7 linked regions of the Coturnix japonica genome follow. The protein of the gene in region 5 purifies or fractionates together with the protein of the main gene of each other region. This does not show direct contact. Links are inferred from orthologs where the notes say so. Each region holds a gene or a part of one and is shown on either strand. Other genes may lie near its edges. The genes, in order: RPAP2, AMOTL1, FAM168A, AMOT, WWP2, LDLRAD4 and POLR2D.

Region 1 (4,630 bases), on a different chromosome or scaffold from region 5:
ACATAAGAGGTTACCAACAGCTACCACAGAAGCATTTCAGTAGCTATTTCTAAGTCTAAACTACAGTTTCTTATCTAGATGTATTTTCCCCAACAATCTACCCCTGATATGTAGTACTGTATCTAGTTTGAGTACTGTATCCAGTTCTGAGTACTGGATTCATTTCCGGGCTCACCGGAACAAAAAAGACAGAGTCCAGTGGAGGGACACAAAGATGACAAAGGGCCTGGAGCATCTCCCATATGAGGAAAGGCTGAGTAAACTGGGTCTATTCAGCCCTGAGTAAAGAAGACTCAGAGGTGATCTTATTAACATCTATAAATATCTTAAGTGTGGGAGTCAAAGGGACACAGCCAACCTCTTTTCAGCAGTGTGTGTGGACAGGACAAGGGGAAATGGCAATAAACTGAAGCACACAGGAAGCTCTGCATCAAAACACAACAGAACGTCTTCATGGTAAGGGTGACGGAGCACTGGAACAGGCTGCCCAGGGAGGTTGTGGAGTCTCCTTCTCTGGAGATATTCAAGACTACTCCTGGACACCTACCTGTGCAGCCTGCTGTAGGGGGCCTGCTTTGCAAGGGGGCTGGACTTGATGACCTCTGGAGGTCCCTTCCCACCCCTACAGTTCTGTGATTCTGTGATATGTTCACTTTGACATGTTCTGCTGAGAGAAACAAGAACACTTCTTTCTCCAAGAGGGAAAACTTGGGAAAACAGTCAGGGAGAAGTGAATGAAACATGGAGACTAAGCCCAGATAGCAGCAAGGAGATCTTCTAACAAGTATCTTGTGTTCTGAAGCCATAGAGTGAACCTTTAATTGCACTTATGACTTTTATGAGAAGTACTTACGCATCTTTGTATTATGGCTTGAAGTTCATCAACTGCCATTATTGCTTGAGTTTGCTCTTCAGGCATTGAAAACTATTAGGAATTAAAAGGTACAGTATTAAAACACATTAAGTAAATGCAGAAATTTAAAAATAAATTAAAAAAAATCATGTTATTAAGACACCAAATAGAGAAATGAGAACAGTCTTTTAGCTACTGCATGGCCACATACAGTGGGAGCTGTATGTGCCTTCATATGTGCCTTCAGGTGCCTGCTGCCTTGTACCAACAGTGGTTTAGACCAGTCAAGACTACATATGCAACATTATTCACTTCCTTGCAGTGCTGGCCGATCAAGCATTCCATTTTCTTCAGGTGCAACAATTAAAAACTTCAGGTTTGGGGATTCCTGTTTGTTTAACAGCTTTGAGTACTTTCTTCTGCCTAAGGCTCGTTATACAGCCACTGTCCCTAACCCACCACCAATTTCCATACGCTGTCAGCTCTGCTGTTTTCCCCCCCAGCCCTCGGACACGTGACGGCACACACGGCGCTGCTCAGCTCCCCACGCTGTCAGGCCTTACGACTTAACCCACTTTCTAATTACATCTTTCCAGCGGTTCCAGCGGCAAACGTACAGCACCCAAATAAGCACAAACTTACTGCTGCTTATACTCAGAGCCCTCCCTCCTCTATTAAAGTAGCTTTCCCACGTGGGGTGCCACATACACGCCAGCACGAGGGGCTGCTAAGGTCAGCCTTTAACCCAGGGCTGAATTACAAACAAAACCCGCAAGAAGCGCTCCCCGCTCACAGCACCCACCGTAACCGCTCACACCGCGCTGCCGCCGCTCCTCGCTCCCGGCCCGGGCCCGGCCGACACGGCTCCGCCTCCGGTGAGAGGTCAGAGGGAGGGAGGCGGCAGCGCCATGATGGCGGATGGGAAGACGCCGTGCAGTGCGAAGGGGAGGCCCGGCCGGCGGCGGGCAGGTGAGTTCCGCGCCGCGCTCCGCCCGCTCCGCAGGCCGGTACAGTGAGTTAATGCAACTCCTGGCCGTGCCGGGCGGTAGCACGGCAGCACAGCAGCACGGCAGCACGGCCTGGGCTGGCGGGGCACGAGGGTACCGCGAGTTCGGGGCGGCTGCGGCAACACAGCGGCTGCACGGGGCAGGGCTCCCCGCAGGAGGTCGGATGAGGGCAGGCCGTGCTCACCCCGCAGCGGTACAAAACCGTACCTGACACTGCCCAGCGGTTATTGCCTTGCTGAAGGCATAGCCAACAACAGCGAGGCTCTGTGCATTCCAATGTGCATTCCAATGTGCTTGCAGAAGTCTTCGTGTTTTTTAAAAGTTCCAATGTTTTCATTGCTAAAGGAAGAACAGACACTTATATGCTTCCATGTTTTCGATTTCTAGGACATAAACGGTCGGCTGCCCCTAAAAATGAAGATGCTGATCAGAGGTATCATTTCTAGCAAACAACACACTGCGATCACTTTGCTTTGCTTCACTCTGGAACTGTGCTCTTTTCCTCCTGTGTTTTTGGCTTTGCCAGAGATGACTGACCTCCAGAGACACCAGCATCCACCTCCAGCAGGTTTTTGGTGTGATGCCGTGGGTCTTTTAAACAAACATCAACTTAGCATTGCTTAGAATAGGCATAGCCATCCTGTTTGGATAGAGCTGCACATTACATCTGAACAGGGCTGAAAGCTGCATCCCCTTTAAGCAGCATAGAACAACACAGTACAGGTGCCTCTGCCAGCTGCTCCCACGTGTCAGACAGCCGCCCATCAGGGAGAGATGCCCAGAGGAATCCAGATTTGCAGTGGTGACACAGATGGCAGGAGAACAACTTTCCAGGGGGAGGTGGAGCTACAGGAGGTATCTCTGTTCCATCACCTGGCTGATGCACAGTTCAATTGGCCTGTCTGACAGAGTGAGAATAAAGTTCAGCAAAGGCTACAATCTACATATAGAGAGAGAATATATCAAAATATGCCTCACTGCAGATACATGGAAGGTACAGGAAAATACCAATGGGTGCATATACTGGAATAATTCTGTTGTGGTTTGACAATAAAAGTCAATACTTTTCCTGACTGGGGAGAAAATAAAGCAAAGAATCTTTTTGTTTGTCTTTAGTGGTTATTACAAAATTTATAGCCCACTTATTGCTTTGTTTGGCCAACTTGATGAGATGCAGAAAATATAAACTACTGTGTTTCAGAAAAGAAGATATCCAGGTGGGGAATTGCTTATGGGAGCTGCTTTCTGTTTCATTCAACATCTCTTACGTTACAGGAAAGCAGCCCTGGAGGCTTCTACTAGAAAAAAGATTGAACTTGAGAGAAAGGCACTGCGTATTGTTGAGCAGCTCCTGGAAGAGGACATTACTGAAGAGTTCCTTCTGAATTCTGTACGTGTCACAAGTTTTTGTGTTATTTTGTATCTTAGTGTCCAGCTGTTTTTTAAAAGTCCTTAGAACAATTTGCTGCAGTTCAGAGCAGACAAGTTCATCCTCTCTTGTCAGCTCTGTTGATGGCTGCCTTACTTTCAAGGGTTCTCCAGTGAAAATATGCTCCAGTTTTGTAGGATGAGATATAATTGTGAATCTCTCTCTATTAGCATACTTTATGCCTCTGGGAAGCACAAAAAGTTAAGTCCATATCATGCCCTCTGTGAGTTTAGCCAATGGTGCTCTTTACCCCACAGTTCAAGTGCTGTATATTAAACTTACAGTTATAAAATGGAAAGTATGTATTTGCTTATTTACATCTGAGTGTGAAAAGTAACAGATCTTCCAGTATTCTTGAACTATTTTCTTGTAATTGCAGGGAAAATGTATTACTCCATCTCACTATAAGGACGTTGTTGATGAACGGTCTATCATCAAACTATGTGGTTACCCCGTATGTCAAAATAAACTGGAAAATGTAAGTTGCTTTTTTTGTTTGTTTTTGAGTAATGTTATCATAAGAACCTAATCACATTTTTTATTCTCTTGCTTATTTTTTTCATTTTAAACTTAGAATGTTAAAATATAGATTAAAATGCTGTCAGGTATCATTTCAGTATAATGCTTCTGAAGTTAAAAGTTAAATCTGATTGATTGACAACTGTTGCTGTATAAGGGAATCAATTACAATCTATTTGGACAGTAATAAAGATAAATAAGGTGTGGTGTCATAGCTATCCTTTGTGCATGCAGAAACATTTTAATCTGTTCCTTCTGTACCTTTGTAAGAAGGGCTGATATGAAAGAGGTAAAACACATGGGTATTACTATGTGACTGCAAATACATCCCCTCCAAAAACAGACCTTACTTGTGTCAAAATCAGTCATGCCTAAATACAACGTATTAGAGCTTAAGTGGAACTATGAGTTCAGTTACATAACCATAATACCAGGTGTGATACAACCAGTTATCTGGGAAAAATAAATCATGAAAGGAAAAATAGGTACCGTTTTGGATTTCACATGTCCCAACAGAACTTGGAAACTATTACCTTTGATGTAAGCTCCCCTCTGGATTTGTCTGAATAGTGGCAGAGTCACACATGAACAGGGTTTCTTCTGTGACAGCTCCATTGGTTCACTCCCAGCAGAGGCTTTCTTGTAAACCTGAAGTTGCCTACTAAGATGTGAATGAATAATGAGAAATTGCAGTTCTAATGTCTAAGGAGATACAATACCAAGAGAGCTGCTGTAGTACGTAATTCAGTTAAAACTGAATACATTACTTATACTGAAAACGTGAATTAAAAGGAAAGTTTTATATAACATTGTGACAATCTT
Region 2 (3,903 bases), on a different chromosome or scaffold from region 5:
GACTGGGGGACTGCACTGAACTGAGTGGGGCAGCTCATGTCTGGGACATGGTTGTAGCCCATTGGGAAATCATAGCCCAGTCTTGGGATAGCACCAGTGGTGGTTCGACTGTCCTTGTGTTGATTTCCTTCATCAATACTTTTCTCACTGACCTAAGTGATGAGTGCTCCATCTGTAGAAGCACCCAAGGTTGGGCTGGATGGAGCCCTGAGCACCTGATTGAGCTGTAGGTGCCCGTTGACTGCGGGGGGTGTTGACTTGGTGGCCTTTGAGGATCCCTTCCAATTCAAACTATGATTTACGCAGCAACAGGTCAGAGGAAATATTCCAAAGGTGGAATGAGGTATTTATATTTCTTGCTGGCTTGGCTGAGAGACAGAAGGACAGATGTGGGCTTTGAAACGATGTCATTTTTGTTCTGTCATTTTTGGATCCTCCTTACAGACCCTGGAGGAGTTGATGGGAAAGTGCAAAGCCGCTTTATTTCCCTCTTAATTTCAGATGGCTGCTTTGGAAGGAGCTTGAAATACTCCAGTCTCTTTTTGAGCTGCGATACAGCTTGGGAGGGGATTTTCTTTAGGACACCCACTGCTTCTATCTGGCAGGGTGGAGGATTTTGGGAGTGGTGAATGACGGTGGAGGAGCCATATGGAAAACAACTCCCAGCGCTGCATCAAAATAGCAGCAGGCCATGCAAAATGGGCATTTTGGGGGTGTTTTAGTAAAGATGTAAATCATAGTAGGTTGGCTGGAAGAACACTGCCTACTCCAAATAGCTTTTGAGGAGGAAATCAGCTTCCTGGAAGTGCTGGTATTGCTCTGAAGACGTGGCTTTCCTGTAATGTCACAGCAGTATGCTTCCTATGAGGTTTTGGGTTTGATCCCTTTCAAAACCAGCCCAAAACCACATCAGAAACAGGAAATATTTAAGCATCTGTGGGTCCTTGCTGCATTAATCTTAGTGAATGATTCATTTAAATGGTTGCGAATCTTGAATTGCGTAGCTGTATGAGGATGATATGGCATAATTATGTGCTTATCTTTAACAGAGGAAACAGATGAATGGGTGTTGTGCAACCATTGAGGTCTGGGAGAATGGGTATTGAGGCAGAAATCCTAGGAGGGCTTGGGTTGAACCTTGAAGCCCACTCATCCCCAACCCCTGCCATGGGCTGGTTGCCCCCCACCAGCTCAGGCTGCCCAGGGACCATCCAACCTGGCCTTGAGCCCCTCCAGGGATGGGGGGCACCACAGCTCTATGGGCAGCTGTGCCAAGGCCTCCTCTGAAGGAGCCAGTGCTAACCAAGGGATCTAAGCAAGCAGCAAATTCTGGTCAGGTTCTAAATCCTGTAAGTCCAGGATTTTTTTTCTCTGGTGGCTTCAGACCTTCCTCAGCAAAGTGATAGCACTGAATGTGGCTCTGCTTGTTTCTTCTCAAGTGACCACTTCTCTAAGCCTTTTCTTTGCTCCCTTTGGCTATCAGAGTTTGGGTAACCATCACACCAGGCAGGTTGCCTTTCTTTGGAACCCTTCTGGCTTAGCTGAGCTGCTCTGGTGCTCAGGACATGCCCAGATGCAGGTGGCGTTCCATGGGTGCAGCCCATCTCATCTCACTCCTTGTCTTTTGCTGTGATTTGCAGCAAAGCCGTTTTGCTTTGCATCTCCTCATGTGCCCTTTGCTGTAGATACAGCACTTGAAGATGCAACCTGAGGGTGTCTAATGACTCAAAATACATCAGGCGGATGAATGAAAGCAAAATTTTAGTAGCGGTTTTTCTTTTAGCTTTTGCTGCCTAGTGATGACGTTTAGCTGGTGGGTGTTTAGGCTGCTTGTAATGCCCGAGACTGTTTTTCTTCCCTGTGTGTTTCATCCCAATCCAGCTTTTATTTGTAAAGCAAGCCCAGGCTCACAACTCTTTGTTTCAGGTGGAATTCCCAGTCCAAGGGCAGGGCTGTGTGTGTGTGGAGGAGCATTGAAGGGTGTATGGGATGTTAATACAGCAGTCGTGTTGCAAAGTGGGGTTCTGATGTTTTCCTTGTGTCTTCATCAGCACAAATGCTAGAACAGCCTTCCGTGCTAATTCTGACAAACATGTTTAGCTTATATCTCCTCAAGTGAGCAATCTTCTCCTCCTTGCTCTCTAAATATAGATAACTGCCATACAGATCTGTGTGTAACATGAATGGTGGAGTGATGAATTCATTAACATTTTGCACAAGCGCCTGTTTCCTCTCCTCTGGGCACAGAAGAAAATAGTTTCTGCATCTCTGTGCCTGTAATCGGGATGGGCAGAATCCTGCTGCCCTGCTTCATATAGGGGGTAGAATCAGCAATAATGTGCTAAAAATATGTGCTTCTCTGCTTGTGCAAGCTTCTCCCCATGTCTGTGGGCTTCACAGGGCGCCCAGGGCCATGCCCAGGTGGCATTGGGAGGTCTCCAGGAAGGAGATTCCACACCCTCTGTTGGCAACCTTTAAATCTGCTGGTTCTTGTAAACCAAGCTGGGTCAGCCTGGCTGTGTTCCTGGGCTGGGGCATGGGATGGCACTGATGGTTCATTGCCTCCTGCTTGTTCCTCAGCCTGACCCCAGCAGGGCCTCTCAGACACTCAGGGCTTTATATTTTATCATTCAAATAACTTATTGACTGACATCCTACTTTTCTTCCTTGCAGGCTCCTCAGCTGCATGCTACAAGCCCACCAGCCCAGGCCAGATACTGGAGGACACTGGCTTTCTTTATCAGGACCACCAGTTGTTTGCTGGCAGGCATGACATTTCTCCTCTGACAGCTGAAGCAGTCAGTGCTAAAGAAAAAGCTGGTGAGTTGCCACTCTTCCTTATGAACCCATCATGGTTACGTCTGGGATTTCCCTATGCGTGAACTAACCAGATGCCATTTATAAATAATATTTACTGAGATGAAGGTCAGCTTCTCATCCCCAGCATGGGCAAAAGGCAGGTTCCTTTGACCCAAGCGTTACAACCCCCTGTCATTTGTATAGTCTAATAGCTTCTGCATTCTTGCATGTAAGAGAAGTTTTTATTGCAAGTCTGCAAAATGACTATTATAGCAAGACTCCTGTGCACTGTGATAATGCAAATACAGCAGTATGAATTTACTGTAGCTTCAGGAGTGGAGGAGCATATGGATGGACGTTTGGCTATTGTGCAGCCAGCTAAATGGGTTTGTATCATTAGAACTAGATGACCTTTAAGGGCCTTTCCAATCTAAGCCATTCGTCTTGTTGGCTCAGACACAGGCCCAGGGAGCTGGCAGACTCTCTGTGTTCTGGTGGTGAGAGATGTGTTCTGCAGATCAGGTATGGAATAAAACAGCCTGAGAATCTTCTCTCTCCCTCAAGCTTCACAATCATTGTTAAGCTTTTATGGCAGGAACAGTGTTAGTGGAAATGGCCAGTTGTCACAGAATGAGTCAAGGGCATTTCTTCCCCTCTGCCATCCAGATTGTATAAAATTTGACCCACAGCATGTGCAGTAACTGGTGAAATATGGGGAAATAGCAGAGCTCAGGAGAAAGTTTTGCTTTTTAACTACTTTTGAATGCCAAGAAAACAAACACAAGTACTGCTGAGGAACTCCTTTGAGAATTGGAAACAGCAGGATAGAGAAGGGAAGTTGCCAAAAATGACCTCAAAAACTGAACTCAGAACAGCACCTCCTCCTTGCCTAGGAAAATGGGAGGACTCTGCGGAGCTGAGGGCTAATTTTCACTTCTACCCCCACCAGGAGCACTCCTTTGGTGTAGGCACAAATACCTCACAACTCTTTGGGATGGGTGCACAAGTGAGGATCCAGCTAGGAGGGATTATGCCTTGCTCCAAGCAAGCTTCACTGTGTGCATCGCTTTCTATAACTAATGCTCATGTTGCTGTGCAGAACAA
Region 3 (4,661 bases), on a different chromosome or scaffold from region 5:
TTCTCAGTGTTTTATTTAGTTTATTTTTGGATGTGTCCTGAAAAGAACTGAACTCTGGTCTGGATGATCTGATTTAACATCTACATACATGAGGCTCTATGACAAGTGTCCCTGGTCAACTCTCCACTGTCTCCTTGCTCCCAGCCTAATGCCTTTGAGCTGTAGTCCTTCATTTATTCACTGTGTGAGCAAAAGTTATATGAGAATGGAACTCTGTCGATGCTTGTCTTCATGTCTGAATAGATTGTTTGCCATGTTCTCATTAATCCTTCTTTTAGTGCTCGTAACAGAATGTTATTCTTGGATTTTTTTTCCCCCAATACACAATAAGGTCGAACTGAGGCTGCTGTAGTTGTAAAGAGATCTTTTCCAATGATTCCAAGACTTTGAAGGCTCAAGGCCGTCGGTGGTGTAGTAAATTATTTCAATGAACATTGCTCTTAGATAATTAACTTGCTTTCTTTTGACTGCAAAGTTGTTTGTGGCTTAATAACCTTAAGGTGTCTTAGAAAGTAGAGGCTGCTCAAGAGAGAATATCAGATTCGCAATACCGTGGTGTTGTAACACTGATGGAAACAGGAGGTGAATGGCTTTAACCATCTACTTCTGTGCCTTTGAATATTTTTTCCTGTCTAGGATTAGAACTGTTTGATACAAGGATGCAGCCCAGCACATGGAGCTGGTGCTGGAGATGGACCTGGAGGTGTTCAGGGGACATTTGGACGTTGTATTAAGGGACCTGGTTTAGTGAGAACTACTGGTGATGTGTGGATGGTTGGACCCGATGATCTTGGAGGTCTTTTCCAACCTTTGGTGAACCTATGATTCTGTGCAGTGCTGGGAGAAGGATGGTGCTTTAAGGCTGAAAGAACATGGGGGTAGGAGCACCTGGGGACTGCATAGAGGAGTGTTCATTAAGTAATCTCAGTCAACTGAGTTTTACTCATTGGAGCTGAAGAACCTTCTTGGTTTTGCAAAGTTGGGATGCCCAGAGGTTTAAACACAAGGCTGTGGAATGCAGAATGGTTCTTTGGCCTTTTGGCTAAGACCAATGGAGTGTTGAGTAGACCAAGGGAATAGGACTTAAAAACATCGAGTGCTTGAGTGCCTGGCTCCATCTTCATCCAGTAGGATTTTACCTCCTGATGCTTTTCTGTTCCTTCCAAATTCACAGTCCTGGTGAAAGTCCCATTGGACGACCACACGATTCGATCAGTCGGGAAGGTTTTTGAGGAAGAAAAATAGCTCAGGATGAAAGTTGCACAGTGCAACCCAACTAAATAAGTCTTTTCCTCGGCTGAGAAGGCTGTGTTTGTACTCTACAGCATGTCAGGAACTCGGTGAAGGTTTTCATCTTCATTTGATAAGTCATGGAGTGTGTTTTTAAATGAGTTGCGCCAGCACAGCATTGCCCTAACGCTCTACAGTCTGCCGAGGTGAGGTTTTTAAACAACGTGTTCTAATTAATTCTTAATCCATTTCATAACCCGTGTTCCCAGCTCCTACCTCTGGAGTCTTGATTTTTATAGAGGAACAAAAGCAATGGATAGAAAAGGACAGAAATGGATGGAAGTACGACAGAAGAATCAGGGAGATCATCCTAACGGTGAAAAGAAGCAAACTTAATATTGGTCATAGCAGAGGAGGATAGAAATAAAATGAAGAATACTCTGCCTGCTGCCAAGTTAGTGAAGATAGTAGGTAAAGGTTTTTCTTACTAAGCAGCCCTAGTAATCTTATAAGGAAATGTTAAAGGGTTTAAACTTTTTGGCACCAAAAACACAATGGGAGTGAGTGGAGGACTCAGGGAGTAAGCTGCAGGAATCCTTTGTTGGGTTTCTTTGCTCAACTGGATAGAGGTAAATTGCTTTAAAAGGTAGAGCATGTAATCTCGTAATTAGGAAATTAGAAGTTAATGGGAAACTTGAGCAAAATGTGTTAATGAATTTATTCAGCAAGCTGCTGCAACTTTGGCCCTCTGAAGAAGGCTGTAGGAAGCTGAGAGTGGTGAGCAGGAGATGCAAGAGCCCTGACCCTAAACTGAGGTGGCTTTCCACTTGTACAAATCTGGTAGACGAGCAAATAAACTGCATTATAAGGCAGTGACACAGTTGCCCAGTGAGTGGGGTGGTCACCATCTCTGGGGGTGTTCAGAACCATGGGGATGTGGCACTGAGGGATGTGGGCAGTGGGTATGGTGGGCTGGGTTGGGGTTGGCCTTGGGGATCTTGGAGGTCTTTTCCAACCTGAATGATTCTGTGATTCTAAATCTAAGTGGACTGGAGAAGGTGTAGCAGCATCCAGAAACTTTAGAAGCCAAAACAAAGCAAAACCCCTCAGCTCCAGCAACCCAAGACTGGCTTTTGTGTCCATCCTTGGCTCCTCATATGCCATTTTCTCTTCAAAATATGTTTTCCTTGTCTCAATGTCTAATAAGTGTCATACAGAATTCATACAGAAGTTTGATTTTTGCTAGTACTCATTTGTGTTATCTTCAGTTCTGACCATTTCTGAGGGTTTTTTGAAAGAGAGAAGAGAGCAGAGATGCTTTGTGGCTGTAGGTAATGGACAGGATGACCCAAGTGATGTGGTGAACAGGAGGTGGGCACAACACTTCTGTCTGCTTGTTTACAGCTGGAAAATAGTGGAAGGATGAAGTTGCTGATAATTCCCTGCCCTGAAGGTCACTGCAGTGCTGTCCTGCTGAACCAAGCTGGTTATATGGAAGGAAAGCACCGCTCGTGCATTCAGCACGAGGAATTTATGGGTTTCTGTGGCCATGGAGGTGTAAAGATGTAAAAATAATAAATTAAAACAAAAAAAATGCAAAACTTGGCAAATTTAGCTACCAAGGTGGATCTGCTGAGTGAAGCACTGAGGGCGAAGGCATCCAGATTTAGTGTAAAACGGATGGAAAGAGGGTTGGTCCCATAGGTGGGCACACTCAAGGATGCTGGGGGGGGTGCAGCTGTGAGGAAGGGGTTGCACTCAGGTTGCTGGTACCCACATTGCTTTTCTTGTTTCTTTCTCACTACGAAAGGAATAATTTCATTTGACAAAATGTTACCGAAGCTTTTGGAACTGAAGCTGCAGCCCACGTCTTCTTGATAAATGGCTGTGTGTATTCCTGGAAGGAAGTTAAAACGGGGCTGTGTTATATTTGGTACCTCCCGAAGCACTGAGGCTACTCGGAGTACAAAATGTGCTCCAAGAGAGACTCATTTGCCAGTGCTGAGCGTGATGTGATGAGATTTGTCAAGTCGTCCTTTCTGCTGGAGCTCACTTTGCCTTTCCTCTCTCTCTCCTGGAGACGGTTTGTTGCATTCTGTAGTTATGTCATTGAACTGGGAGGCTGTAAAGGAAGCCAGAAACCCCAAAAATGTGAGGAATCTCCAAGCAACACACACACTGTGTTATAAGGCAGAGAGAGAGAGAGGTTAACTGCGTACACATAGAATTGATAAGGCTGGGAAAGGCTTCCAAGACCCCCAGCCCACCCCACCATGCCCATTGCCCATGTCCCTCAGCCCCACACACTCTGAACACTCCAAGTTCCTGTGTTTTCTCCTTTTTGGAAGCTGAGAAGATCTTGGTTTTGGTTTGTCTGCTCCTGATGCTGACTGATATGCAGTAGATAGATATATGATATATCTATCTATATATATAGATATATCTATCTATATATATATATCTATCTATCTATCTATCTATCTATCTATCTATCTATCTATCTATCTATCTATNTATATATCTATATATCTATATATCTATATATCTATATATCTATCTATAATAGATATATGCAGTTCTCCGGCAGGATATAGGAAAGCATTGAGTTTCAGTTCATTCAGCCTTAGTGCAAGATGCACCACGTGAGTATCCCACCCAAAGCCACCGAGCGTAGCAGATGCCTACAGGAAGATTCTCAGTCTTGATTCAAGAGAGGATGCAAATGCTGAATAATCTGTTGGAAATCCCGATGGAAAAATGAATTCTTTGAGTTTTTAGAGGTTAAACAAATGGACATTTACTTTAAGGGAGCTGCAGTAGATGCACCCACCCACCAGTTGACAGCAGTGGGTCCGATTCATACACACATGCCTTGCTGCTCTTGCTGCAGTGCAAATGACGACGTCTCCACGATGGGACAAGCCGTGCTTTCTGTGCATTGGGTTTGCCAGCAGAGCCTCACTGATGGTTCTCTTTCTGTTGTTCCTTTAGAGCTGTGGAATGCTGTGACCAGTCCCAGTGCCCCGCAGCCCAAGGCACGTCGCCGTCCAGATCATCTCCATCCAAAGGAAGTTTGTTCACAAAAGGTACTGACTCACATTTGCGTGGTGTACTCAAATGGTTACGTTTGAATGGGAATACTGCATTGATTTATGGAGTTATTAAGTCTGAGGTAGTGAGGACTGGGGTAGAATGCACAGTAGGTGTGTGCTGCTCTTGTAAAGAGCTGTGAGAGTTGGCTTTTTAGTGGTTGTTAGTCTTCCTATTGTCTTAATAAACACAATTGTTTTGTATCCAAAAGAAGGTGAAAGGCATCAGCTGGGTCAAATCAGAGGGTTGGCAAGGGGACAGTCCTTGTATGCAGCTCTGTCATCGGCTCATAGATGGTTTTCTATCAGCTTCTGTTGCTCCTTTGTGTAAAGAAAATCATG
Region 4 (4,548 bases), on a different chromosome or scaffold from region 5:
ATCCTGTGTTGCTGGCTTCCCATGGAGCAAAAACAAGACTTACCCTCCATATCTCCTTTGGTATTTACAGTGAAAGGTCGGTGTGTGGCCACTACCTCCTCTTTGTCCTCCTCCTCTTCATCAAAAGCAACAAGACAAAGCTGTCTGTAATCAAATATAGCAAGGAGTTGTGATGCACCATGAACACAGATGTATGCACTCAAAAATATTTTTGCACCTGACTTTTGGATTCGTGCTATGTATGTCTTAGAATGGTTTGTTTGTTTGTTTCCATGCCTTATTCTAATTATTGCCACTCTTAGGTCTGTGTGCTGAGAACAAACCAACAGCAGAACTAGACATGCTTAGTTTTTCAGATATTAAAGCAAAGGGGATGAAATGTCCTTGCATGAGTCTGCAGGAGCTGTACGCTTGATGACCAGCAGCTGATTAACAACAATTTCCAGATGTTTAACCTTTGCCTATAGTTTAGTTTTAGTAACTATTTGTCTATCTGTAACTATCTATTTCAAGAGAGCATGTGGCAGAAGGCCACAAAGATGAGGGGCCTGGAACATCTCCTGTACAAGGAGAGGCTGAGAGACGTAGGGCTGTTCAGCCTGGATAAGAGAAGGCTGAGAGGGGATCTCAAGTGTAAGAGTCGAGTAGATGGGAGCGTGCTCCTGTTTGACCAGGGGGTTGGACTCCATGGAACCCCGAGGTCCCTTCCGAGCCCTGCAGTTCTGTGACTCTGTGAGGGGCCTCCAGTGGGCAGCAGCCATTTCGTGAGCTCAGAAACCCCACTCACCTGGAGGTAAGGGTGAGCTCCGGGTCCTTTTGTTCTCCCTGCGGGCTCTCCTCGGCGTACCTCACTCACAGCGGTAACAACAACTCGCTCGGCCTTTTGAGAAGGACTTCTGAGCTTTCATCCCCACCAAGTCCCGCTCGGACCCTCCGCTCGCTGAGGTGCCGCCACCGACAGAGCCCAGCACGCAGCCCGGGGCGCTGAGGAGGGGCGGGCGGACTACGCCTCCCGGCAGCCACTGCAGGGCCCGGCCCAGCGGGGGATGCCGGGCGCCGCCGCCGCCTGGTGAAAGTTATCCACCCAACCTGGGCAAGGCGCCTCCCAGAGCCGCGCGGCGCCTCCCGTTGCCATGCCGGCTTTGTCACCTCGGCGGGGAAAGCGGCAGGATGGATGAGCGGGCGGCCGACGGGGCAGGCGCCCGCCGGGTAAGGAGCGGGAAGGGAGGGACCGATGGAAGGCGCGGGCCGCTGCGGTGAGGCCGGTTCTCCGCGCCTCTGAGAGGGCCCGCGGCCGCCCTGCCCGCCGGGATGCCGGGCTCGGGCAGGTGCAGGGGAGCGGCGCGGGGCTCCGCCGGTGGAGAGGCCGCTGGGGGAAAGGGGGAGCGAGGAGTCTGCTCCCGCCTCACGACCGCGGCCCTCCTGCCCTCCATCCCTCCCTCAGGGGCTGCCCGCCGCCCCGCGCTCGGCCTGAGGGTACTGTGGCCGCGCTGCCCCGTCTCGGGCCCCTCCCGGGGACGGAGGCAGAGCCGGGGCTCAGCCCCAGGCCCCCGCGAGTCCTGAGGAAGACTCCTGGGAAAGCTTCGAGAAGGCTATGAGGGTTTGCCGTGAGTACCTGCTCTGCGGTCAGAGGGGTTTGCGTGTGTGAAGGGGAGAGCAGAGCTGTGCTGGCCCTTGCCATGTCTGTTTTTGGGTCCATGTAGCGCCAGGGGACACTTTGCTCCTGTAGTCCCACACAGGAGCCCTGTGGCCTCAGTGCGTGCCTGGCCCACTGCTCCCATTCCTGCTGATCCACCTCTGCCCGAACCCCAAATTAAGCAGAAAGGACTCCAAATCCTCCTACTTTGGTTCCTGAGAGAAGAAAATGTTGATCTATGAGTGATGATCCCAGAAGTGTTGGGAGCTCTGTATCTGTGTCCCTGCCCCATAGAGAGAGAATGATCCCCCAGCAGCCCCCTGAGGTCTGGGTTCAACCATCCCTGCGCTGCCCCAGGTAAAAAAGACTGGGCCTTTATAGGCAGGCTGATTCAGGTTGGCCTATAAATATTCTCAGCGAGACTCACCATATGGTGGGAGCAGAGCCACAAGTTCCATCTGTGCCAATTCCAAGATATCTTTTTGGTAGAGCAGAGGGACGGAAGGCTGAATCTGCAGTCACGCAGGAACCTGGCGGCTGTTGCTTTTGCTTGATGTTGTAGGTAGCCAGAACCCAGCGAAACCACCCCTATGTGCCAGGACACCTCCTGGTGTTCCCATGGCACAGGTACTTGGGGGGCTGTTTTTACTTCTTAAAACATCTGGTCCCAGGCTCATGCCCATGGCATCCTTGCCTGGAGTCCTTTACCACGAGGAGCATCAAGAAGATGCCCATTTGATTTTCAGGTTAAGTTTCTGTGTCACCTCTAATAAATGATCTTCTGCTCATCCCTCATGCAACAGAAAATAGAAAATTCCATTCTAATTCAGTCCTCGTTCTTATTCCACGTTTTAATAATAGTTTTTCATTTAACATCTAATCCTGTCCTAGCACCTCTAATCAGTAAGGCCCAAGGTGCTTTACAAAAGAAGGGAAAAAAACCTATTCCAATTATCCTCATTAAAGCTGATATCTTTTGGCTTTGGGCAGCTTCTGCAGATAATATAGGTCATAAATAATTAGGAATACAATCTAATTAAAAGAAATCCCAGTTGTAAACCAAAGGGCCACACTGAAGAAGCCGGTCTTCAAAGGCACGGCCTTGTAACCTAACCTCCCTGATCAGAGCAGCATCCCATTAACCTGCAGCTCTTTGCCCTCCTGACCTGTGTGCCCCAGCAGCAGGTACTGCTGGGTGCCTGTGTAGGATTGTAGAGAGGGAGAGATTCAGGGTGTCTGTGACAAAAAGCATTCTGGTTTGAATAAAGGTCTGGTGTTTAGCAAGCTACCATAACCCACAGTCTGAACTGAGCAAAATGGAACTAATGTAGGGGTTTTTTTTTTTAGCAAAAGAGAAATAATTACTGGAAATTAGAAACACTGCTCAAACTCGAGTCCTGAAGATAGTTAAAGTAAGTTGTGTCCTGGATCAAGTTCATACGTGACCTAAATAGAATTCTGACCCCAGAACTCACTCTGAGCACTATCTTTCATTAAAGTTGGGTGTGAACTTTCATGTCTGGGAGTTTAGGCTCATACTAAACTGGATCTCTGTGTTTTACCTGCGTGCCTCCTTGGAAGCTGACTATCTCAGGGCTGCTGTTTATCTGTATAATTCAATAGTAGGGCTATGTGGGAGAAATCCCTGTTCTCATTCCAAGAACTTGCTGTCACGTATTAATTATTCTGTGGCAATATTTGTGCTCTGATTCCTAGTTACACAGTGTTTAGCGATGACCTAATTGCAATGTTCTCATTAGCAGAGAAGTTTCTGAGTTTGACTTTCTAGTTCACCTTCTCCATAAGTCATCATACGTTCTACCATCAATACTGCTACTTTAGCCTGATGTTTTCTGGGTCGTCATAAGGCATTTGAAGTGCATCCATAACAGCTTCTTGCATTACACTGTTGTATCCTACAACTTAGTTCAGAGTGAGAGCAGACCATCTTGTAGGTGAAAATGGCAGAATCTGAAGAGCTATGTCAGCTTTCTTACCACTAAAGAAACCGCACCTGTGTTTGGTGTTGGGTAATTTCCTTGAAAGCTGGGAATACACCAGCAGCTACGAACAAACCTAAAATGGCCAGACTCCTTTTGGATTGTCTTGTGCAGGGGTTTAGTCTCAACCACGAGATGTTGGTTTAATTTTCAAACTCAGAGGCTGCTGACTGCAGGTTACATTAACTGAGTCCCTTTGGGCTTAGGAGAGGTCTGATTTTGATCTACCTGTGCTGTAATTTCTTTGTTTGTAAAACCCAGATGTTTTGTGTTAACTGTAATTGTTTTATATACATGGAGCTCAGAATAGTAAGGGATGGCTGGAGCTCTGGGAAGCACTGGTGATACTGGACATGGGCTCCATGTGGCAAGAGGACACCCACAGCAGTAAGGCAGTGGGGTACACAAGCACTGGGAGCTGCAGGGTGGGGGGATGAGAGCAGAAAAAAGGGGGAAGGATCAAAGGAAGTATATAAAAGTATAACATTAGAAACAGTGTATGGGGCAGATGGCTGACAGAAAACCTTGGAAGAGCAGGTCTAGAAGGATGTAGGGAGAAAACTAAACCTATGCTGCTTGGACAAGGCTTTGCCTTTGCATGTGATAACGTTCTTAGAAAAACTTGGTGCCACTTATGGGAGAGACGAGGGGAGAGGATTCCTGGAAAAGTACATATGCGCACAAAGAAGCCTTTGGTTTCTTCCCTTGCACATTTGTAGAGAGCTCACGTCTTTCTCTTACCCCAGGAGACATTCCTATTTCCTTTCATTTACCAGTGTTTGGAAGGCGGATGGAGATGAGGCACTGTTGGATTCCCTTATTAACTTAATCTGTGGGAAGCCCTACTTAAATCATTGAATTTCTCAGTCTTGATAGAACGAAGTATTTGTACAGTGAAGTCAAACAGAAGAT
Region 5 (3,903 bases):
TGTCTCTGCACTGGGCTCGTGGCTGCTCTGAGTGTTTCCTTGGGGGTCTCCTGGTGCAGGAGGCAGCGGTGTGTGATCATCTCTGGGCATGCAGGCAAGAGCTGCACTGGGAGTTGTCTCCTGTGGACTCTGACACTGGGGGTGGGATGCCAGGACCTGCGTGCTGGTTCGGAGAGCTGAGGTTCGGAGCAGGTATGTGCTGCTGTGTCCCAGCAAGTGGGCAGATGTCTGTGCCTGCGGAGCAGCAGCATGGAGTCAGGGCAAACAGGCTCTTACCCAGGCCCAGCTGTGCCTCACCTCCTGTTTCTTTCCCTGCAGGACACACCGCCTCACTGCTGGGGCCTCCAGGCAGGGTGTGAGCAACGGGGAGCAAAGTCCCAACACACGGAGCCGCCACCGGCAGCCGCCCAAGAGCCCGACAGCCACCAGCATGGCCAATGGCACTGCCAGCAGCACTGGTGAGCACAGCGGGGATCTGCTGCTGCTGCGGGCATGGGGTGGGCAGAGCTGGGGGTGCGGTCTGAGGGGGAAAGGAGTTTTCTACTGTGATTGAGGGTCCTGTAGTGCTGAGGGGTTTCTTCCCCATAAAGGAACTGTTGGTTTCACTTTGATAAGCTGGGCAGCTCCTTAAGGCTCACTGGTGGGACCTGTTCTGTTTCTCTAATGATTCCTTGGGCTCCTTTCTGTGAGAGCACAAACCCACCCCTCAGAAGGACACTCAGTCTCATGCCAGCAGTACTTTCAGGAAGAGTTTTCCTTGTCTTTTCATGGGCTTGTCCACTGGACCCGAGTGTGTGACTACAAAGCCATAACCAGCTCACCAGCTTTTCTCTGCTGCTGTGCTGGAGCTGCCCCGGGACAGTGGTAGGACAGTGCCTGGCACTGTGGGCTTTGCCGGGGTCCCATGTCCCTCATCCTGGGCAAGTACATGTTGCGGTGCTATAGGGTGGGAGGTGGCAGCAGGGTGGCATCACTACCACAGGCATTTCCTACTCCCCTGCACTGTTATTTTGCAGCAGTTCTGTCCTTTCTTTTGCTCTTGTCAGAGACCCGAAGGGAAAGCAGCGTGCTTTGTTTCAGACAGAATGAAATGCTGGGTTCAAGACAGGAGAACTTTTTTCTTTCCCATTACTTTGGAAAAAGTTGGAGCACTTAATTTCTATTTTGCCAAAATCCATTCTGGGAGGGAGGTGGGGGTGCAGAGGGCTGCATTGGGACGCAGCAGTTCAGCCTGCAGTCCCAGCTCGCCCCATTGCTGCCCAGCCCCTGCCCCGCTGTGACGCACCCGCAGGCACGGTGCTGTTCCTGGGCTCTGCTCGCTTCACAACGCGTTGTGCTGGCCCGGTCCCAGCCTTCCCAGTGTCTTTATGGCCGTGCCGTCCTTGTTGCTGTTCATCGTTCAGCAGTGTGCCAGCTGGGGCGTTACACCTCGGGATGGGAGGTGCTGCCGGGGGTGGTGCTGGGCGCTCTGTCACGCTCAGTTTGCCTCCAGAAGCCTTCCTCTTCCTCCCAGCTCCGTGTGTTCTTTTGACAATAGCTTGTGCAGTTTGGAAGCCAACTGCTGCAAGAACTTCCCAGTTACATTTGTAGCCAATAGCTGTAATTTCACCTGAGAACAAAAGGAAGTTGCTGTGTGGCATGCATTCTCCATGGTGTAGCTTAGCCCCAGCCCCACTCCTCATGGAGTCCTTATCAGTGGACTTTGAATCATCTTTTCCCATGTTCTGTCCAGGACTGGGATCAATGCAATTGCAGTGCAGTCACCCGAGTCACATTCCCTCAGAACTGTTTGAAGCTCCTCAGTCTTTGCAAGACTTGCCAGCAGTGAACACCTGACTCCTGTGTGATGTTTACTACAAAACCTGGCCTTGCAGCTTTTTGCATTTCTGAATTCTAACTCGTGGAGCTCTACCTGCATCCCTCTGTTCTGTTTTGAATTCTTTAATCTGTGGCTGTGGCAAAAGTTATCCTCTGCTGTGCTGCTGAGCTCTGACAAGTTTCATTCTTTTGGTCTGCATTTTCCTCCGGATCAGTTTTTGTTGTGGTTTTCCCTTGCTCAGTCCCTTCCTCTGTCCACAAATGCAGTGGAACCAGCACCACTCAGCTCCCAGCAGTGCCTGTTGTGGGGATGCTGCAAGGCAGCCTTGCCCCTGAGCTCCTCGCTTCTGGCATCTACATCAGGCCTGCAACACATCTGCAGGCAGCAGAAGGGATGCTGAGCACAAATGCAATTGTCTGCTTTTTTCTCAAGAGGAAAGATGGAGGCAGGGGCTCTGTGGACCTGGCCTGGAACCGTGTGCTCCCTGTCGCCACCACCACCACCGTGGTTGTGAGGCTGCTCCAGGGTGGTGGAACAGCCAGTGCTGCTCTTGGTGCTAATATCTCTCCCCTCTGCCTTCCCAGTGAACGGTGATGTGGTGGGAACTGTGGATGTGGAAGAAGAAAGGCCGGCTGCGGGGACTGCCGTGCAGGCTGCAGACACATCGAGCACAGCTGATGGTTCTGTTGCTGCATCCACCCTTTCTGCCCTGCCTGGCTCCACAGAAGCCGAGGAGGCAGCACCCAGCACCCCGCAGGCACGGACAGCAGTGCAGGCTCAGGACTCTCTGCCCCCTGGGTAAGCAGTTCTCGCTGCTCTTGTTCCCTGATGGAGCAGCATGGCTGAGTGCCCTGGGGGTACTTGAGGAGGGAGGCACAGCCCTGGAGGCAGTGAGAGAGCTGCTGGGACACTGCTTTGTGCTGCAAGAGGGGATGGGTGTTGGAAGGCTGGGGCCATGCAGCAGGGCTCAACAGCGATGACCTTCCTGCTCAGCAGAGCTCATGGCATGGGAAGCCCTGCAAGGGGCCGTGAGCACAGCCTGGGAAGGGAGCCTAGAGCAGAGAGGGGTGCTGCTGGGAGTGCAGAAGCATCCAAGAAGACCTGCTGTCTCTGTCTGGTTCTGCTGAATGGGGATCTGTGTCTCCCATCCCTGACACAGCTTGTCTCCTGTTCAGCCAGAGCAGGGTCTGTCTGTGTTGGACTGCTCTCTCCTCCTTTGGGCCAGGACTCTGATCTGTATCCATTGTGGGGCCCTGGGGAAATGAACAGTGAATCACATCTTTGCTATTAGTGGCCTTCCAAGGCTGGTGCCTGGAGCAGTGAAGTCCTCAGAGATCCTGTGGCTGTTCAAAGGTTCGGTGGGAAGATCATGAGAGAGAGAGAGTGTGGATCTGCAGGGAGCTCCCTCTAAAAGGGAGGCATGGATATCAAAGAGTGGAATATGACAGAAATGGACATTGTGGGGAGCTGAGAGGGATCCTCCCACAGCTTCTATGTCTAGTGCTACAGCGGATTGAACAGGGATGTGAGCAGCCCCATGGTGCATCAGTGTTTGGAGCCGGGTAGGGCCTCTCCTGGGTCCTGGGGTCATTACTGGGAGAGAGAGAGAGGGTCGTCCTTGGGATGGTGAAGCCCAGTCCTGTGCTGTGCCAGCCCTGTGGTGCTGAGGGAATGCCTGGGGCTTGGGTTCCTCTCTGGCTGCTTTGTGTCCTGCTGGGAAGGAGTGGGACTGTGGCCTGGGGCAAGCCTGAGCCCCATCCTCCACCTTTCCTACACCTTTGCTCTGGAGTGTGAATGCAGAGTTGGAGGATGGGGGAGGGTCTTGCAGTGCCTCATATTCGTATGAAGGAGCTGTTTATTTTCCTCTGGCTAAGCCGATGCCTGGAAGGTCAGGGTCTTGCTGATGTGTCAGTCACAGGTAATTAGGGTTAACGGCTCAGTGTGCCTTTATGTGGGGTGTGTGAGGGTTACTGTTCTCAGGCCTGGGCGCTTCCTGTTTCCAGGCAGCTGGAAAAGTCCAGGGCTCTGAAAAAGGTCTTTATTCCAACCCATGCCCCTCCTGTGCTTACCAGGCAAATGGGAGC
Region 6 (3,903 bases), on a different chromosome or scaffold from region 5:
CGGCTGTACGAGCCTCATTTCTGTGCTAAGTTTACTTTTAGAATTAAATAATTGAAATAGTTTATTAAAAAAAAATAATATATTCCCCTTCCCCCCGCCCCCCAAAACACTGCTCATAGACAAACTGAATGGAAGTTTGTATTTCTTTCCATCTGCTTTGCATGCAATTCCCCTGAAAGGAATCAGAAACAAACAACTGGTTTGCACGTTTGGTTTTACTAAGTTGTACCACGTGAAATGTAACAACACTGTGCACCGGAGCACTGGGCTCTTCCTCCGCCGCCCTGCTTCAATCTCTTGTCTTCAGTCCAAATGCACCTTGGAGAGTGACTTAGACCAGGTTCCCTGGTTTCCGGTCTTGGCCTTTGCTGGGGACAATTGTGCTCTCTGAATTGTTCTGCTGAAACTGAAGTCTGCTCCCCCTCTGCGAGGAAGGAGGAGCGTTGCTGTGCTGGTGATGGAAAAACGAGGAGCCTGGGTAGTGCCCCATGACCTCGCTGTACGTCGGGGGTGGTCCTTCCATCCTTCCATTACTGCTATAGTTGGTTGCACTTATGCCCGAATTGCTGCTCGGTGGGCAGGGGCCCCCATTGTACATGGAAATGTCTATCAAGTCGCTATCAAAAATGGTTCGGTTGGGCGGTGCCCTGACAGATTCCCGGTTGAGCTCCATCTGCTGCTCTGGGTCCCGGAGCTGCAGGGTGCACGGGCCTTGGTATGGCGGCGGCTCTTCCCCATCCGAGAGGGAAATGGTCGGAGGAAGGTCAATCTCATGCTGCATGTATGGGTATGTGGGCTGGAAGCGACTGAAACGGTCCCGCTGCATAAAAGATGGGGCTGTAAACCTGTCCCTGGACCTTGGAGCATACATAATCTGCAATGGGAAGAGAGAGAAATGTGACTCCAGAGCTGAGCAAAGCACTGAGGGCTCTCCATGCTGATGAAGAACTAATAAACAGAAAATGCTTCTCTCTGTCATCTATCTCAGAGGTTCAATCCCGCAGATGCTGTGCGTGCCTGCTCCTACAGGCGGGCATGGAAAAGAAGAGGTAGGAGTTCAGGAAGGATCTAACACAAGACATTGCAGAACAGCTTCAAGAAAGACGATCCTTCTAATATTAAAACACGAATAGCTAAGATAAATGAATTCTGTTTCTGTAGATAGGAAACACTCCAAATTATTTTCCTCTCTAATCTTGACAATTAATTAGTTCTCCAAGACATGCCAATACTGAACTTCAGCTGCAGCCTGAGCCTACCCCTCCTGTTCCAAGTTAACCTAACACCCAGCACTAACAAAGAATTCAGATGGACACTTTGGTGTATCTTGTGAAGGTCCAGCATATCTCACGCCTTCACCATCAGAGTACAGCAGGTGTCCTCCTCCTCCTCAGCTCTCAGCCAGGAAGAGTTTGAGATAGTCTGAGAGGAGCTATTGCTTCTCACTTCATCCATTTCAAATCTCGACAGACACACCAACTTCTTAGATCTACCTCTATCAAACTGCTCTTTTAATTTCTTAGTCCCCACAGGGTCCTTAGTCCTTGACCCACACAAACACAGTGTCAGCTGCACAGGAGAGCTGGGCCTCTCAGGACAGCGCACCCGTAAGTTACCACACAGGCCACGTATATGTGCTGGCCAGAGATTTGGAAACACTGGTGAGAGGGTGTGTGTGTACATTCAGGAAAAATCAAAGGGAGAAAAGCAACAGGTCTCCCACATTCCAATGAAAAACTACTGAGCCTCTGCACGTCACTTACCTGAGAATGTCTACTAAGTTACAAGGAGCTGCTGACGGAGATGAGACATCAGGAAGTTAGAATGTTCTTTTAATGAAAATGTCTTAGACATTTAAAGAACGGGAGTTAAGACAGGTTTAGATGTCCATATGAATGTGGTTCTTGATCTCAGCTCCCAAGGCCTGATTTACTAAATAGATGCATGTCTTAAGAGAAGGCAAATATACATAATGTCAAAGATGGTAAGAAATGCCACTGTACCTCTGAAGCACCCTGGCGTGAAACCGAGCTTTCCGAAGGCCACAAGCACCCTTCCTGCAAGGCAGAAGGGAACAACACATGAGAAAAATCATGACAATCCTGCCTCAGTACCACAGTGAACAATCCGTTTCTAGCTGTTGGTTAACCACACCTAAGGGGAGTCCCACCCCTTGCTTTCTAGAAGTAGAACGAACAGCAGCTCTGCATCCAAGCAGGTGAAGCTCAGCGCACTGTGAACATGCAGAGATGCCAGCCACAGCAGCTGGCCTCACAAACCGCAGGGATACAGCAGGCCAGTCCCAGCCACGTGTTGGGATGTGGCTGCCATGAGGTCTAATGAAGCTTGTCCTGCTGCCCAGTGTCCTAATTACACAAGGAGTCAAAACCGTACACAACAAAATCTGATGACACCTGTCACGTGCCATGGAGAGGACTAAACTCAGGAATACCCTGGTCAACACCGTCAAGTGCTCGATTCCCACCATAAAACAGCAATGAAACTGGTTTCAGCCACCAGTTCTGCTCTTCAGGCACTTCCCGGCCACCTTTCCAGGCCAAAGTGTTTTCTCTCTCACCCCCCAGCAGCCTGTTTTAGCACTGTACCCAGGGCCAGAACAAAAGGGTGAAGAAAAAGTTGTCAATAAGGGCAAAACAGTTTCAGGTGTACCGTTCTTTTCCTTCTCAATTTTTTAGAGCAGCAATATGTACTGCAATTTATCTATTTTACTGGAAAACTTGAAAGCTGAAAAGGACAAACTAGAGTAGTTACAGAGGACAGAATTTCAACCTTACTAGAGAAAAAAAATCAAAACAGTACACGGTTATGAGCATTTTCTTAGTGCTAAGTAAACTTGCAAGATTTCATAGGCATCAGAAATTCCAGGAAGGAAAATGCACACTGCAAATCCTACTGTACAGCTTTTTCTCACCAGAGCATCTTTGAACATATTTCAGATGTAAAAATAGACCTAACTAGATGTTCAGCATGGCACTCAGACACCAAAACCGTCTGTGATCTTGTCAGGAGAGTCCACCACAGAGGAAAGCTGTTCTGGGAGGAATCTCCCATAGGATTCAGCTGTTAAGAGAAAGGGTTTGAATAACAAAGCTTGTCAGTCACTTCTCTTCTGTAGCTGGAGAGAGTAGATAAAGAAGGCTGACAATTTAAGCTATTTACAATTTCCTTTTGCAAGTATCCCCACTCACTAACACCTGATATGAGGAAAGAATCTTAGGTAGACTCATGTACTACAGTGGCTACATAAGATTTTGCTGACTACAGAAATGCTGTGTAACTGCAGTAGTTCAAGTTACACCAGTATCCACCTTCCTTTCTACCCCTCCATAACCCAGATACCCACGGTTTAAAATATCTGAGGGCGTATCTGTACAATTACAGGCAATCAAGTTATCAGCTGGTGGCCAAGCAGGCTCCAAGCCTACTGCAAGTCAGCGACGTCTAGCAGTCAATGCTAAAATGCCCAGTTAACAACCCAAGGGCTGCCATTCAACTGCAAACTCCCAAGTGTGCAGCTTTATGCTTCGTGCCACTTTCTCTCCTTTAAAGCATTCAGGTTCAGAAGAGAGAAGAAAAGCCAAAACCCAGCCCAGAAAGGAATTCAATACAACACCAACACTCATGTTACTTAAAAGTCACCTCAGAACGTGTTGCCAGTGTGAAAGTGGAAGTGATGACCTATTACCCACCTAAGGCAGGAGACTGAGAAGAACCAAAGGAGTTAGCACAGTGTGGGGCAAAGCTCTCCACACAGACACACAGTAGGACCTGCATACTGCACCCTGGCACACAGAACCAAGGATGAGCCTTGGAATCAGCAGCATCCGACAGAATGTACTTCTAATGCTGATGTCTTAATCCTGGTACAGGAGAAGGCACTGC
Region 7 (4,051 bases), on a different chromosome or scaffold from region 5:
CAGTGTTCTGATCTTATTACCTTCAGTCAAAACCTGCTTTCTAAATAAAAGTCAGTCTGTGGCACGCCCACTAGGTAGATAATTACTGCGACAAAGCTCCAGAGCTGCTGGAAGGAAAGACATTACAAAATTCAGCAATGCTGATAATGGAATGTATTTATTACATGTTCCTATGTTTTACTATACAGATGTTTAGCTAAAGGGGTTTTGTTTTTGTTGTTTGTGTGTGTGTGTGTGTGTGTGTGTAATAGCTGTTTTTTTGCACTCAAGTTGCTAGTGGGTCTGTTTTCAGAGGGAAGGAAGGAATTGCTGTAGAGTATCTATTTAATAAACCACTGATGTCCCAACCAACACTTTCTGCCCTGGACTATGCAACAGAAGCTCATGTCTAAAACCTGAGACTGAAACCAAGCACAGCAGTGACAGGGAGCTGTTAGCCACCACCACCGCCTCCTTGGCTGTACCTTTATGCTCTTGTAGGTATGTGGCTTTCCCCGAATCCTTTCAGTTTTCATGTACTTAAGTAGGAGAGATCACTGGGGAACAACAGATGTTAAATTTGTAACCAAGACTGCAAGCTACCTACTGCTTGAAGATCAGGATGTTCTGAGGTGAAAGGGTATGTGAGAAGCTGTTGGGATTCCAAATGATTTTAAAAGGCTTCTCTCATCAATCTGGCATGTGGATGTGGCCCTGGACAGCCTCATCTAGTATTAGATATGGAGGTTGGTGGCCCTGCCTGTGGTGGTGGGGGGGGGAGGGGTTGGAGCTTTATGATCCTTGAGGTCCATTCCAACCCAAGCCAGCCTATGATTCTATGATTTCCTTGTTTTCTTGTAAACGTAATTGAAATAGCCTCATTCACTAGATGTTCTATTTCCACACTATCTTCCTGAGTGTCTTTCTGTTTGTACCACTCAGCTAATTCGTTTTTAGTTCGCTTCTCTGCCACGCTCGTCTGGAGTTAACAAACATTAAGGAGCTCAGATCTGATCCTGCAGCTCCTGGTGGAGCTCACCCACCTGCAGGGTGCAGGAAGCACAGCAGCCGGCACAGATGTGCGTTAGGAGAGCAGGAGTGGCCTCACAGTGAATCCTCCAGCCATTTATTTCTGCATTTCTTTAAGGGCATGGGGTGACATTGTGCAGCCTAAGATGATTACTGTAAGTCTTAAGCTGGTTGGGCACTTTCATGTGTGTTCCCAAGGGAAAGTACTACTACAAACACTACTTTGCTAGCAGTGCCAGGACGAACCCACTCATTTCCAGCCTGCCTGAAGCTTTAAGCTGTCTATGGATTATTCCTGAGTAGGCCAAAGAAGGGAACCTTACTTCTATTGTGTTCTGCTATTGCCATCCATGCTCCTCCCACACACACCTCCATGTATTTACCACACTGCACCAGAAGTAATGCTGCTGTGGGTTGTTTCCTGGAGCCATCACTCGCTGCGTTCCCTCAGAGGCATCAAGATGGAGGCGCTGGGTGCTCACAGCGCCGTGCAGCGCAGCTGGAGCCACCTGAGGCGCCGCTCCCTCTGCTGGGCGCCGGGCACTCACAGCGCTGCGCTTCCGGGCGCCATGTCTTCCAGTTCCGGGTGAGCAATGGCGGCGGGCGGCAGCGACCCGCGCACTGCGGATGTGGAGGAGGACGCCTCGCAGCTCGTCTTCCCCAAAGGTGCGCGGCGACACCTCGTGCTGTTGTTTGGATCCGTGTTTTAAACACTGACGTTTGCTTGTTCCAACGTAGAATTCGAAACGGCAGAAACCCTGCTGAACTCAGAGGTCCATATGCTTCTGGAGCATCGCAAGCAGCAGAACGAGAGCGCGGAGGATGAGCAGGAGCTGTCCGAAGTCTTCATGAAAACCCTGAATTACACAGCGCGGTTCAGCCGCTTCAAGAACAGGGAGACCATCGCCAGCGTCCGCAGGTGGGTGCGAGGCTTTGGGCTGTGATACGTAACATCAGCCTTGTTCGATGGAGCTGAGATTTACTGACGTTTCCTGGGCTTCCCACAGCTGTGTCTGTCTTTTTACCTATCCACTGTTGTAATGTTTCTTCCTTCATAAACTTGGATGCAGTGTCAAAAAGCAGAGTTGTGTGCTGTCTGCTTGCCTTGATGCTGCTTTGCTTATCTGTCTTGTTGTTGGCTTTCCTCACAGCTTGCTGCTCCAGAAGAAGCTCCATAAGTTTGAACTGGCGTGTTTAGCCAATTTATGCCCTGAGACTGCTGAGGAAGCCAAAGCTTTGATTCCCAGGTGAGCATTTATATACCTAAAAGGAGTGTGGTGTACTGCCCTGTGATGTAAAGCTGCCCATGGACAGATGCCTCCTCCATAATCCAGCTCTGCTGATGGGAAAACCTTCCATCTCAGTTTTTCTTCACTTACCCATTGATCTGACAGTGAAGCAATCTAAATATCCCTAACGCACTTTAGATAACATTTACTGGATTAAGAGTGATGGAATCGTGGAGTTGGAAGGAACCATTAAAGGCCATTTGCTCCAACTCCCCTGCAGTGAACAGGGACACCCACAGCTGGGTCAGGTTGCTCAGAGCCTGGCCTTGGATGTCTCCAGAAGTGGGGATTCCAGCACATCTCTGGGCAGTGGCTTAGACTGGGGCTGTCAGCCCAGCCAGCTGCGTTTGTTGGTTGTTGTTGGAGCAAACAGCAGTGTCCCTCTGAACCGCTGGGTGGACAATGTGCAGATGGGGCAGGGAGATCTTCCAGTGTCGTCTCATCATTTGTTACCTCGTACCCTGAGATAGAGGAGGAATGAGACACTCATCTGAAGTACAGCTTTCCCCTTGTATGCTAAGATTTCATAGAATCTTCTAAGTTGTACAAACGTTTGTTGAATACCTCCACAAAAGGCAACCAGCACTTCCCTGCTCAGCCTGTTCCAACACCTCACCACCCCTTCTGTGAAGAAATTCTTTCTAATTGAAACCTCCATTGGTACAACTTGAGGTATTTTGCTCACATTCTTCATAGCAAATCTGGACTGGCTTATGAGCATGAGGCCTGCACCCGGGTTGACCTTTTGGTACAATGACTTGAAATCATTCCACACTGAGCTGTGGGAAGGTTGGAGTTCTGTCACATAAACAGGAGGCTCTGCATGGGTGTGAAATGAATTCAGAGGGGAACAGGGGAGGCTGTTCCTACGAGCTTTAATGTACCCACCTTGTTCTTACCTTGCAGCCTCGAGGGCCGGTTTGAAGATGAGGAATTACAGCAGATTCTTGACGATATTCAGACCAAACGCAGCTTCCAGTACTGAAGCTGAGCACCAAAAGCTGCCCTGATACGCTCAGTTGTTTTGTATTATTCCCCTTAGCGTAAATTAAAAAAGATGTTTCTAAGATATTAAAAGATATTTCTAATTAAGCTTCTGTGTTCTGTCATATTTATGAAGATCTCTGCAATACACTGATTGTACTGGGACAAGGTGGACGCTCTGAGGGCTGCGCGGCTTCCGATTGCGCATGCGCAGGCTGTGGAGCGGCCTCCCTGCCGCTCAGCGTCTTATCGTGGTGCGCATGCGCCGCCCCTGGCGCTGGTGGGGGCAGGAAGATGGCGGCCGGCCGCGGCGGGGGATCGTGAGGCGGCGTCGGCGGCTTCCGGGGCCGAAGAGCCGAGCCGAGCCGAGCGGCGGGGCCGCGAGGGCGCGGTGGGAGACGCCGGCTGGACGGTGAGCTCGGCTGGGTGCGGTGTGAGGCGGGAGTGGGGCTCGGAGAGCGCGGTTCGCTCCGCCATTTTTAGGCCTTGGCCCTGGAGGGAGGCCGAGCTCAGGCCGAGCTCAGGTTGGAGCGGGGCGGGATCGCGGCGCTTCGGGCCCGGCCTTGTCCGCGGGGTGAGGGATGTGGGCTGTGAGCGCCGTGTTGTGGTGGGGCAGCGCTGCGCCGTGCGCGGCTGCTGGGGCCTGAGTAGAGCGTCTGTCCCGCTCCCAGTTCGTGCTGTTCCTCCTTGGGCCTGCGGGGTGCCGGCCTGGCACTGCTCGGAGGTGGGTGCGGGGCTTTGCGGGCAGGTACAGCCACGTGCGGCAGGCG

The links.
Region 1: the proteins of WWP2 (region 5) and RPAP2 purify together in Homo sapiens (affinity purification with mass spectrometry; 3 studies listed by BioGRID and IntAct, with this or other methods). This does not show direct contact. The link is inferred for Coturnix japonica from reciprocal best matches to the Homo sapiens genes WWP2 and RPAP2.
Region 2: the proteins of WWP2 (region 5) and AMOTL1 purify together in Homo sapiens (affinity purification with mass spectrometry; 3 studies listed by BioGRID and IntAct, counting the BioPlex papers as one, with this or other methods). This does not show direct contact. The link is inferred for Coturnix japonica from reciprocal best matches to the Homo sapiens genes WWP2 and AMOTL1.
Region 3: the proteins of WWP2 (region 5) and FAM168A purify together in Homo sapiens (affinity purification with mass spectrometry; 3 studies listed by BioGRID and IntAct, counting the BioPlex papers as one, with this or other methods). This does not show direct contact. The link is inferred for Coturnix japonica from reciprocal best matches to the Homo sapiens genes WWP2 and FAM168A.
Region 4: the proteins of WWP2 (region 5) and AMOT purify together in Homo sapiens (affinity purification with mass spectrometry; 3 studies listed by BioGRID and IntAct, counting the BioPlex papers as one, with this or other methods). This does not show direct contact. The link is inferred for Coturnix japonica from reciprocal best matches to the Homo sapiens genes WWP2 and AMOT.
Region 6: the proteins of WWP2 (region 5) and LDLRAD4 purify together in Homo sapiens (affinity purification with mass spectrometry; 3 studies listed by BioGRID and IntAct, counting the BioPlex papers as one, with this or other methods). This does not show direct contact. The link is inferred for Coturnix japonica from reciprocal best matches to the Homo sapiens genes WWP2 and LDLRAD4.
Region 7: the proteins of WWP2 (region 5) and POLR2D purify together in Homo sapiens (affinity purification with mass spectrometry; 3 studies listed by BioGRID and IntAct, with this or other methods). This does not show direct contact. The link is inferred for Coturnix japonica from reciprocal best matches to the Homo sapiens genes WWP2 and POLR2D.

Annotation. Positions count from the first base shown.
Region 1 is NC_029523.1:12,310,513-12,315,142, reverse strand, and holds the start of RPAP2 (putative RNA polymerase II subunit B1 CTD phosphatase RPAP2), read left to right. Parts: upstream 1-1,720; 5' UTR 1,721-1,761; coding exon 1,762-1,822; intron 1,823-2,247; coding exon 2,248-2,293; intron 2,294-3,135; coding exon 3,136-3,250; intron 3,251-3,668; coding exon 3,669-3,767; intron 3,768-4,630. Other genes in the region: GLMN (glomulin), read right to left, coding at 854-919.
Region 2 is NC_029516.1:165,959,402-165,963,304, reverse strand, and holds part of AMOTL1 (angiomotin-like protein 1), read left to right. Parts: intron 1-2,670; coding exon of another isoform or gene 2,671-2,673; coding exon 2,674-2,820; intron 2,821-3,903. UniProt on the Homo sapiens protein: Inhibits the Wnt/beta-catenin signaling pathway, probably by recruiting CTNNB1 to recycling endosomes and hence preventing its translocation to the nucleus.
Region 3 is NC_029516.1:175,055,740-175,060,400, reverse strand, and holds the start of FAM168A (protein FAM168A), read left to right. Parts: upstream 1-1,679; 5' UTR 1,680-1,701; intron 1,702-4,221; 5' UTR 4,222-4,316; intron 4,317-4,661.
Region 4 is NC_029519.1:12,245,004-12,249,551, forward strand, and holds the start of AMOT (angiomotin), read left to right. Parts: upstream 1-1,405; 5' UTR 1,406-1,594; coding exon 1,595-1,607; intron 1,608-2,983; exon of another isoform or gene 2,984-3,048; intron 3,049-4,548.
Region 5 is NC_029526.1:16,996,843-17,000,745, forward strand, and holds part of WWP2 (NEDD4-like E3 ubiquitin-protein ligase WWP2), read left to right. Parts: intron 1-147; exon of another isoform or gene 148-192; intron 193-318; coding exon 319-458; intron 459-2,403; coding exon 2,404-2,617; intron 2,618-3,903. UniProt on the Homo sapiens protein: E3 ubiquitin-protein ligase which accepts ubiquitin from an E2 ubiquitin-conjugating enzyme in the form of a thioester and then directly transfers the ubiquitin to targeted substrates.
Region 6 is NC_029517.1:87,055,208-87,059,110, forward strand, and holds part of LDLRAD4 (low-density lipoprotein receptor class A domain-containing protein 4), read right to left. Parts: intron 2,058-3,903; coding exon 2,004-2,057; intron 875-2,003; coding exon 332-874; 3' UTR 1-331. UniProt on the Homo sapiens protein: Functions as a negative regulator of TGF-beta signaling and thereby probably plays a role in cell proliferation, differentiation, apoptosis, motility, extracellular matrix production and immunosuppression.
Region 7 is NC_029524.1:1,664,292-1,668,342, forward strand, and holds POLR2D (DNA-directed RNA polymerase II subunit RPB4), read left to right. Parts: upstream 1-1,546; 5' UTR 1,547-1,601; coding exon 1,602-1,674; intron 1,675-1,746; coding exon 1,747-1,927; intron 1,928-2,159; coding exon 2,160-2,255; intron 2,256-3,203; coding exon 3,204-3,282; 3' UTR 3,283-3,389; downstream 3,390-4,051. UniProt on the Homo sapiens protein: Core component of RNA polymerase II (Pol II), a DNA-dependent RNA polymerase which synthesizes mRNA precursors and many functional non-coding RNAs using the four ribonucleoside triphosphates as substrates.